Linked DNA regions of Saccharomyces cerevisiae S288C. The protein of the gene in region 2 interacts with the protein of the main gene of each other region in a biochemical or structural test. Each region holds a gene or a part of one and is shown on either strand. Other genes may lie near its edges. The genes, in order: TUB1 and VIK1.

Evidence for each region.
Region 1: the proteins of VIK1 (region 2) and TUB1 are reported together in a solved structure, tested with the Saccharomyces cerevisiae proteins (one study listed by BioGRID).

The regions. Positions count from the first base shown.
Region 1 is NC_001145.3:97,181-101,379, forward strand, and holds TUB1 (alpha-tubulin TUB1), read right to left. Parts: upstream 2,221-4,199; coding exon 2,196-2,220; intron 2,080-2,195; coding exon 761-2,079; downstream 1-760. Other genes in the region: ALO1 (D-arabinono-1,4-lactone oxidase), read right to left, coding at 1-191; YML083C (uncharacterized protein), read right to left, coding at 2,614-3,870. UniProt on the Saccharomyces cerevisiae protein: Tubulin is the major constituent of microtubules, a cylinder consisting of laterally associated linear protofilaments composed of alpha- and beta-tubulin heterodimers.
Region 2 is NC_001148.4:70,387-75,149, forward strand, and holds VIK1 (Vik1p), read right to left. Parts: upstream 2,621-4,763; coding exon 677-2,620; downstream 1-676. Other genes in the region: HFI1 (Hfi1p), read left to right, coding at 1-565; YAH1 (adrenodoxin), read right to left, coding at 2,977-3,495; ATG41 (Atg41p), read right to left, coding at 3,923-4,333. UniProt on the Saccharomyces cerevisiae protein: Together with the minus end-directed microtubule motor KAR3, plays a role in microtubule organization. Recruits KAR3 to microtubules, and together they may stabilize the polymers. The KAR3-VIK1 heterodimer cross-links anti-parallel microtubules.

The DNA.
Region 1 (4,199 bases), on a different chromosome or scaffold from region 2:
GTAACGCACATGTTACTAGGAGAATGGCCCGAACCAACAGTAACTAAGCTTTTTTCAGCTAGCCTGGCACTCTTTACTAACTCGACAACCTCATCAATTGAACTTGGTTGGAAGTAACGTTCTGGTTTTGCAGAATAAATTCCGGCCCAGTTTTTGAACACATAGTTCTTTCTAAATGGGATAGTAGACATGGGGTGAAAAACCTGATAATATCGGTAACTTTAATTTTACGGGTTCTTGTTTTACCTTCTAATGAATTTTAAGTTTTGAAAAGCAGAAAATCAGATATTGAAACTATAGATCTGCTTACCTTGAAGTTCACTATTTTTGGAATTCTCCTTGCTAATAGTTACTTCTACTCTTGCTTTGTCCTGGATATCAATGGAAGATGTCCTCATTTCCATTTTTTTTTTCAATTCGACGGCAAGGCGGGAGAAAAGGAACTAGGGATACAAAAATGCAATTACTAATGAAATCCGTGAAATAATCATGGAAATGGGTGATGTAAGAATCTGATGAAACAAGTACAAATGTCTTTGGCCCATCAACTACGATGAGACTTACTAAGCTTTCATCAAATGCAGGTTAGAGAAGGAGAATGGTTTTTTTTTTTATTTTTTGTACATAGATATTAGAGAAATATAATAAGTAGATTATAGATAAGATATCACCAAAGAGATATAACAGTAGGGGGAATTTTTTTTTTTACAATATACTTGAAATATAGAAAGGATAAGGAGGTTGGGGGCGAGAGTGAACCTTAAAATTCCTCTTCCTCAGCGTATGAGTCGGCACCCACTTCGATGTAATCTCTTTCTAAAGCAGCCAAATCTTCTCTAGCTTCGGTGAATTCACCTTCTTCCATACCTTCACCGACATACCAGTGGACGAAAGCACGTTTGGCATACATTAAATCGAATTTTCTATCGATTCTCTTCCAAGCCTCAGCAATGGATGTGGTATTTGACAACATACAGACGGCCCTATCCACAGTGGCCAATTGTGAGTTTGGTGTGGCAGTTGGAGGTTCGTAGCAAATACCGATCTTGAAACCAGTTGGACACCAATCAACCAATTGGACGGTCTTCTTGTTTTTCACCTGCTCGACAGCTCTTTGAACATCTCTTGTTACCACATCACCCCTGTATAACAGACAAGTAGCCATGTATTTACCATCTCTTGGATCACACTTGACCATCTGGTTACCAGGTTCAAAACAAGCGTTTGTAATTTCTGACACAGAGTTGGACTCATGGAATGCCTTTGATTTGGATAAGACTGGAGAATATGAAACTAAGGGGAAATGAATTCTTGGATATGGAACCAAATTGGTTTGAAATTCGTTCAAATCTACATTTAATGAACCGTCGAATCTCAATGATGCTGTAACAGATGATACCACTTGAGCAATTAGGTTGTTTAAGTTTGCAAAGCTTGGTCTTGGGATATCCAAGTTTCTTTTGCACATGTCGTAAATAGCCTCATTATCGACCATGAAAGTACAATCTGCATGTTCCAATGTAGTATGTGTAGTTAAAACTGTGTTGTAAGGCTCAACCACAGAAGTAGACACTTGTGGAGCAGGGTATACGGCAAATTCCAGCTTGGATTTCTTACCGTATTCAGCGGATAGTTCTTCCAACAGTAAGGACCCTAGACCGGAACCAGTACCACCACCAAGAGAATGGGTAAACAAGAACCCTTGTAACCCATCACATTGGTCTGCCAGTTTTCTAATCCTATCCAGAACATCGCCCAAAATTTCTCTACCAACGGTGTAATGGCCTCTTGCATAATTATTAGCCGCGTCCTCCTTACCACTGATCAACTGTTCTGGATGGAACAAGTCCTTGTAAGGACCGTTACGGACTTCGTCAATAACGTTGGGCTCTAAATCCACGTAAATAGCCCTTGGAACGAACTTACCGTAGCCGGTTTCATGGAAAAACGTGGAGAAACCCTCTTCTCCTCCCTTCGGCTTTGAAAGGCCATCTTCTAGATGTCCATCCGGCTTAATACCGTGCTCAAGGGAATATAATTCCCAACAGGCATTACCAATCTGACAACCAGCTTGACCGACTGTAAAGAGAAATCAAAAAAAAAAAAATTTTGCGTTGAAGTTAGTAATGAAAGATGAAACGCCAAAATGAACTAACAAAAAAAAGATCTAGCCTGGACGGGCAAATCGAACATACCATTAATACTAATAACTTCTCTCATTGTTTGTTTGCAGTTGTAAGTTTACAGATCTTGGGTGGCGAGAACTGTTGTAGACGGATATACTGAATTGGGTAAAACGATATAGTAGATGTTTTTGTTTTGTTTTGTTTTGTTTTGTAGTTTAGTTTTTCCCTTGGCTCGAGGCGTTTTCGCGTGGCATAACCCGGCCGGAAACTACGGTGATATTATCGTCTGGCACATATATATATATATATATGTAAACTATACTTATATTAATAGTTTCCGATCGTCTTATTACTCACTTACTATCAATGGAAGCACTATTTCATTACTTAAAAAATACTTTCTATTGCAGGATCTGAAACAGTCAGTTATAATGGAAAAAGTATGCAATTGTGTTTTCTTAAAGAAGGATACAGATATTTATATATGTTAGTTCCTCTGGAATATATCGCTAGATGCATTAAACATGAAGAAATTTGCCGTATGAATTATTCCTGTATGTACACCAAATGTGTCATGATCTTCTTGTTTCTTCAATGTGGCGCTGGCATTCGAGAGTGATGATGCTTGGTGTGAGCACTTGAAATGTCTCCTCTTTAAGAAAGACAATCCTATCCTTTCATGATCAAGGGCTTCTAAGGCGTCTCTCAATGCCAATTTCAAATCGGTAGGGTCTGACACGGTCTGGTAGCATTTATTAATGCAGTGGGTAAGGAAGAGGGAGGGCTTGATAATGTGGTTGGCTGAAATCGGATGGCAGTGCCCGCCATTGATAGACTCAAATTTTACTGTCTTCGTACAGTGGTTGAAGGTCAGTATGAGTTTTGACTCGCAGATCAAATGTATTTTGTACTTTTCAGGAGTCCTTGTTCTTTGTATACGCTTATTGCTGAGTTGCTCGTGAACATTCATCTCACAAACGAGTTCGTACTTGTTCTTATTGATTTTCTTTGTCCTGTAGATGAAACTAATGAATGAATATACTCTAACGAACTGCTCAAACGACAGGGTACATAGGAACTCGAAGGAGGATTTTGGATGCTTGAAAATAAAGTCCCTGAAGTTTAGAATGTTGTTGATATTTTCGATCTCGTCCTTGTTTACTGGATGGTGATATTCCTGTGCGCATGCAATTAGTTGTTTACCAGACCTAACTTTGCTCAATTGTGCCTTTGTTTTTGCACAACCAATGTAGTTTGGAATCTTCCTAATTAATTCCTCGGTACTATCTCGCTCAACATCACGGCCGCCGCCATTCCCGATCACAATTTTGGGCAGGATAGGATGTGAAACTCTGTCCTCTACTGTGCTGGGCACAGGCGACGGTGGTAGTTTCAAATCTGGCAGCTTTATGGCGACCGGGGCCAAAGGGGGTGAGGGAGCCGTTGCTTCAAACTGAGGTCTTGGGGAGGTCATAGGTGTGATAATAGGCATCATTGCGGCATGATTTCGTACAGCGACAGGGATAGTGACAACCTGTTGTGACCAATGGACGGGCGTATTTGTGCTCATAGAAGGCAATATGGGTGTTGGCAAGCACCTGGGGCTGGAGTACCCAAATGTCAGCGAATGTTGTTGATCTAACGCCAATATGATTGGGGGCAGAACGGGCGATAGGCACTGCCTGCCTGGAGGTGTTCTGGGAACGTGCGCCTGGTTGTTGTTATATACATGTAAATAGTCCATTGAGTCTTTACCAGGTTCTATCTTAACTAAAGAACTACTTCTACACAAGACTTAAGGCACCTTCATACGAAAACCCTCTCCACGATGGCGTTCAATCTTTCGTCTTTATATACATATGTTACTTTATATATTTATATATTTACGTATACACCCGAATGTATTTATATATTTGTATGCATATGCCCACACGTATATGCTCAAGAGTAAATTCTCCGACCCGTTTAAAAGCAAGCACACGTCAAGGTTTGCTGTCTCCACTCGATTCGTACCGTTCCTGCGGTACTCCTAGGCAAGCAGTTAGGCCCTGCCATTCACCCACTCAACAGTTT
Region 2 (4,763 bases):
AGATCAATATCTAAAAAATATAATAGAGTTTACTATTGATACAGTTCGTTATAGAAGGAAGAAATATTCAGATTATTATGATTTGAATGAGAGTGGGCTTTATAAATCCGTATCAGAAATGGCTGCTGATAAACGCGATGCCAAAATTAAGCAGTTAGATGATGATAAAAATGAGGATGAATGTGCCGATGAAGCCAAAAGTATTAATAACGGCAATAACAGTAGCAAGGACGATATTGGCGACATATCAATGAGCAGCATTACAAAGGCTGGCGAAGCAGTTAATGAGGAGTTACATGAAAACAGAACGATATCATTAACGAATGAAGACATATATGATTCGTTATCTATATTTCCGAATTTGGTTGAACCTTCAGGTTCATACTATGCGTTAACTAATTTAGGGCTAGTTAACGATGATGAACTAGTAGATATGAAGAGCAATATTGACGACTTGCCGGACTTCTTAAATGAAAAGCCGACTTTCACGCCTTTGGATGAAAGAAACGTTGGTACAAGGCATGAATTAAATTGGTTAATTAAAGGAATCTTAACGGAAGATTGATGTATAAAAAGTGTGTGTATGCGGTATGTTGTAATTATATTGAAAGATTATAAACCTTATTTGTTTCATATCTAAATGGCTGTGTTAAGAAAGACGATAATGTGACCGAGCTTAAGTGAGCTTTTTCTTTCTTTTACAAAGTTGTGTTTGAACTTCTTCTGAAATCGTTAATAATTTATTGACATTTTTTGAATCGTTCAAGTTTAGCAAGAAAAAGGATTTAGTATCAGAAATTAGTTTTTTCAGAACAAGTGCAATAGGGGTCTCGCATGATTCCTTCTTAAAGATGCTTTTATCAAACTGTTCAATGGACTTCAGATTATTTAACTCGATAAAATAAAAGTCCACCGGTACGGGGTCATTGTTGCCATCGCTTTTTGAATCTCGAGGAAAAAACTGCACCTTGATTATACCCATCCCAGAATGAGGTAAATTTGGGTGTTCATCACAACTAAAATTTAAGGGCAAATCTTCGAGTCCATTTTCTATGATGACAAGTTTGGAATCCAAAGAAATTGAGTGTTTTTCAAATTTCAACTTTATGCTATCTTTATCATTGTGGGAATAATCCAAGAGCATGTCCTGAGAAAATTCGTCATCTGATAAAAATACAAACTGTAAGGTGATCACATATTGTTTTTGATATATTGTATCCTTTTCGGCCAAAAATTTTATTAGAGACTCTCTCAATGAGCCATGTGGAGTGGTGCTTAGAGATATTAAGTTGAAATTTTTTTTTTGGTTCAGGCACATATCATGGTAAACGCTATACTCTTGAGTGAAAAATTTATCTTCAGAAACTTTTAAATGCGGTATCACCCTATTAAATTTGTAAACATGTTCGCTTAGACCTTGGGTTATTACGCCATTTTCGTAATCAAATAAAAGGTTCTCAGGCAAATTTTGCTCCATCACGTAAGCGTAACAGCGCATCGTGCCTTTTTGTTCAATAATAGAGTTTTCAAGTCTCCTACTCCGCAGGAGTTCTTTTTCCACAGTGTTATAGGTATCATTATAAAATTTTTCCTGTTTAGAGGCCATTTCTTTCAAATTTTCCATTTGGTTTTGTAAATGTTCCAAATCTTGCGAGTTTTGTAAGGATTTGCTTATTAGTGGGTTGTTTGCCAATTCCAATTGTTTTATATTTTCATTTATTTCTGAGATGTTTTGTTCCGAATATTCAGCTTGTCTATCTATATCCATGATCTCCTTGTGTAACTTCTCACTTTCCGATTGTAGAGTGGCTATCTGATCAAGTAATTCACGATGTTTGTTTGTCAAATTTTCCATGGATTTTAACTTAGCTTCTTTGAATGCAATAAAATCCTTCCTCAATTGTGATTCGTGGTTTACTTGTCTTTCCAAGTTTTGCTTCTGTAAATTCGCCCAATTTATGTTGAGCTCTTGCAGCGTTTTCTTCAACTGAGATATTTCCTCTGTGATTTCGTGGTCAGGCTCGACATTTTCCATTATTTGCAGCTCATTTTCCCAAAAGATAAGCTTATTATTGTACAATTCTTGAGATTCCTGCCTTTTCAAGATCAGATTCTGGTCGAGTTCAGCCTGCAAGGTTGCCAAAGCGGATTTGTTCTTCTTAATTAAATCAGCGCGTTCACCGTCCTTGGAGTTCAGATTTTGCGTCAAATCTCTAACCTGTTTGAGATACTTTGCTTGTTTGGATTTTTTCTTATAAAGTTCAAACCTGGACTTATTGAGATCTCGAAACTTGATGGTTTTGATTTCTCTTTCGCACTCAATCAATTGAGTCCTGAGAGTATGTCTTTGGAACCTTATTTTGTCTTGGCGGTCTTTTAAGTCCTTAATTTTGCTCATGTTGATGTTTAATGATGCAGATCGAGATACAGATGGGAAGGAATCCTTTACGGGTGGAAGAGCCAATGAACTCTTCATAGACGAAGGTCTAGAGCCATTCATGGTGTTTGTCGTGTTTGTGATATCCATAAGGTTTCGAGATTTTGATGAGGACACATTATCGGGATTGTGAAAGATTCTATTCTTTGAAAGAAAAGCGTGTTTGTTTTGCTGTGACGCCATAAAGTACACTGGTCAGGAAATGGTGCTTTTGCGAGGAGAATGTGTGTGTATGTGTGTGTTGTTAGGGCATTTCATATTCTATATTCATTGTTTTTTTGTTTTTTTTGTTTTTTCAGTTCTTTGTTTACCTATTTTTTCTTTGCCGCAATTGCAAATATTATTAACTTAATTGCGATTATTGAGACTAAACAATAAAGACCTGGCAGTGGAGGCATGACAGAGGATATCGCGAAACGATTGTTTAAGAGTATATTATAAAGTTGACTTGTTTCCTTATAATTATAATTATAAATATATATATATAGATTATTCACAGGAGAAATTGGGGGCACAAATGAGGGGTAAAAATGCAGACATTAACTAAAATCGTTGTTATTAACGTTTCTTGTCATCTGGGGCAGAGCGACTCTAATCCCATCGATATCTTTTGACATCTTAATCTGGCACCCAAGCCTGCTTGTCTCTGTTAGCCCGTAAGCAAGATCGAGCATATCGTTTTCATCATCTTCAGGTTCCGGCAGGGCATCGTAGTAGTCTGGATCAACGATGACGTGACAGGTGGAGCAGGCACAAGAACCGCCGCATGCGCCCTCCATGTCCAGGTTGTGACCTTGAGCGATGTCCAGGATGGTTTCGCCCTCACAGACTTCGTACGTCTTCTGGGAGCCATCCTTCAGAATAAAAGTTATCTTCAGTTCTTCGCCTGGTTTCGGTTTTTTCAAATGGCCATGGTTTAAGAACGAAGACGTAGAGAAGGGCAGAAATCTTGTGGTTGTGGTGGTGCGTGTGAGCAGAGATGGAGAGGTGCGTAAAAGATGTGCTGCGATGTTCGATATTCTAGCTGTGTGTCCAGCCCGAGTAACAATTTTCAGCATTGGGGGCGGGTTGAGTATAGATACGAGAAGCGCCTATTTCGTATGAGGTTTTTTTTTTCTATTATTATGTATATTAGGCATATATATACATATATATATTTTGCATACATATTCATTTTTAAAAAAATGCAACTGCTACACGCTTTGAAAGATTCAATGAAAAGTTTTTCCGACGACCAGAATTGGCTAGCAAAAAAACGAAAATGTAATGGAGTCATGCAAACATGACTAATAGTAACAAAAAAAAAAGATATAGTAGAATTGAGTAAGTAAGTTCTATGTATATTGTTGTTATTTTCTCTAAAAAAAAAAAAAAACTATGTAAAATTAGGAATTAAGAATATGCTTGGAAGGAATGCCGATTTAAAATGTGTAGGATATGCGATGCAAGGGGTCGTGAGAACAAGTAGAGATGTGGTAAAATGCGTCATACCGATGACAACCACAGTCTGTAGTTCTGTTGTGCGACATTGGCAAAGGCATCGTTACTTGCAAAGGCAAACCCAGAGGCAGAGTTAGATTCCTTACTAGCAGCAGCAACTGCACTGGCGGCGTTGCCGTTAAATTCCATATCGAACATGCAATCGTCTTCAGTACTCGTTATTATGTTGCTGTCCGTCTTATCTTTAGTGTGCGTGCATTCTGACTCATCGACAATCGGGTACGATAGCGGAAAAGTTAGCAATTCTTGCTGGTAAGATTGAGAAAAGTCATCGGCATAAGTCGATCTGTCCGGGCTATGCGAGAGCATAGGGGGCTCGAAAGCAACGTTTGAAAACGAAAGAGGGAAGACCTCGTCTTCATAGCGCGAGATGGGGGAAGATTCCACAGAGGACATTGTAAATAATTGTAATTGTATATTATTGTGTGTAAGTTTGGTTGGTTTGGTGTAGCCAATTTAGTTTGGTTTTCTCAAGAATAAAACAAGTAAGAAAGAAAGAGAGTTGCTCCAGACCCTTTCCGAAATCAAGATGAGTCCTGTTCTTATATATACCTTTTTACGCAGAGCCGCTTCTTTATGCACCGTGGAGTAATTACCGAATTGCAAAACCACCCGGGTGTGGATGTGGATGCAAAATAACAGTGAAATGAGTAATAACAATGGTCATAAACATGTGGTGTGCAATGTGTCATCTTCGCGCGCGTGCTAAAAAAAACGAATAACGGTGGTGATCCCGCGGCTTTCCACACTGACGGGGTCACGTGTGTTTATTCTGTTTTCTTCTAACGGCTTCTGTAGATTTCCGGACGGTTCCACGCAGCGCCAC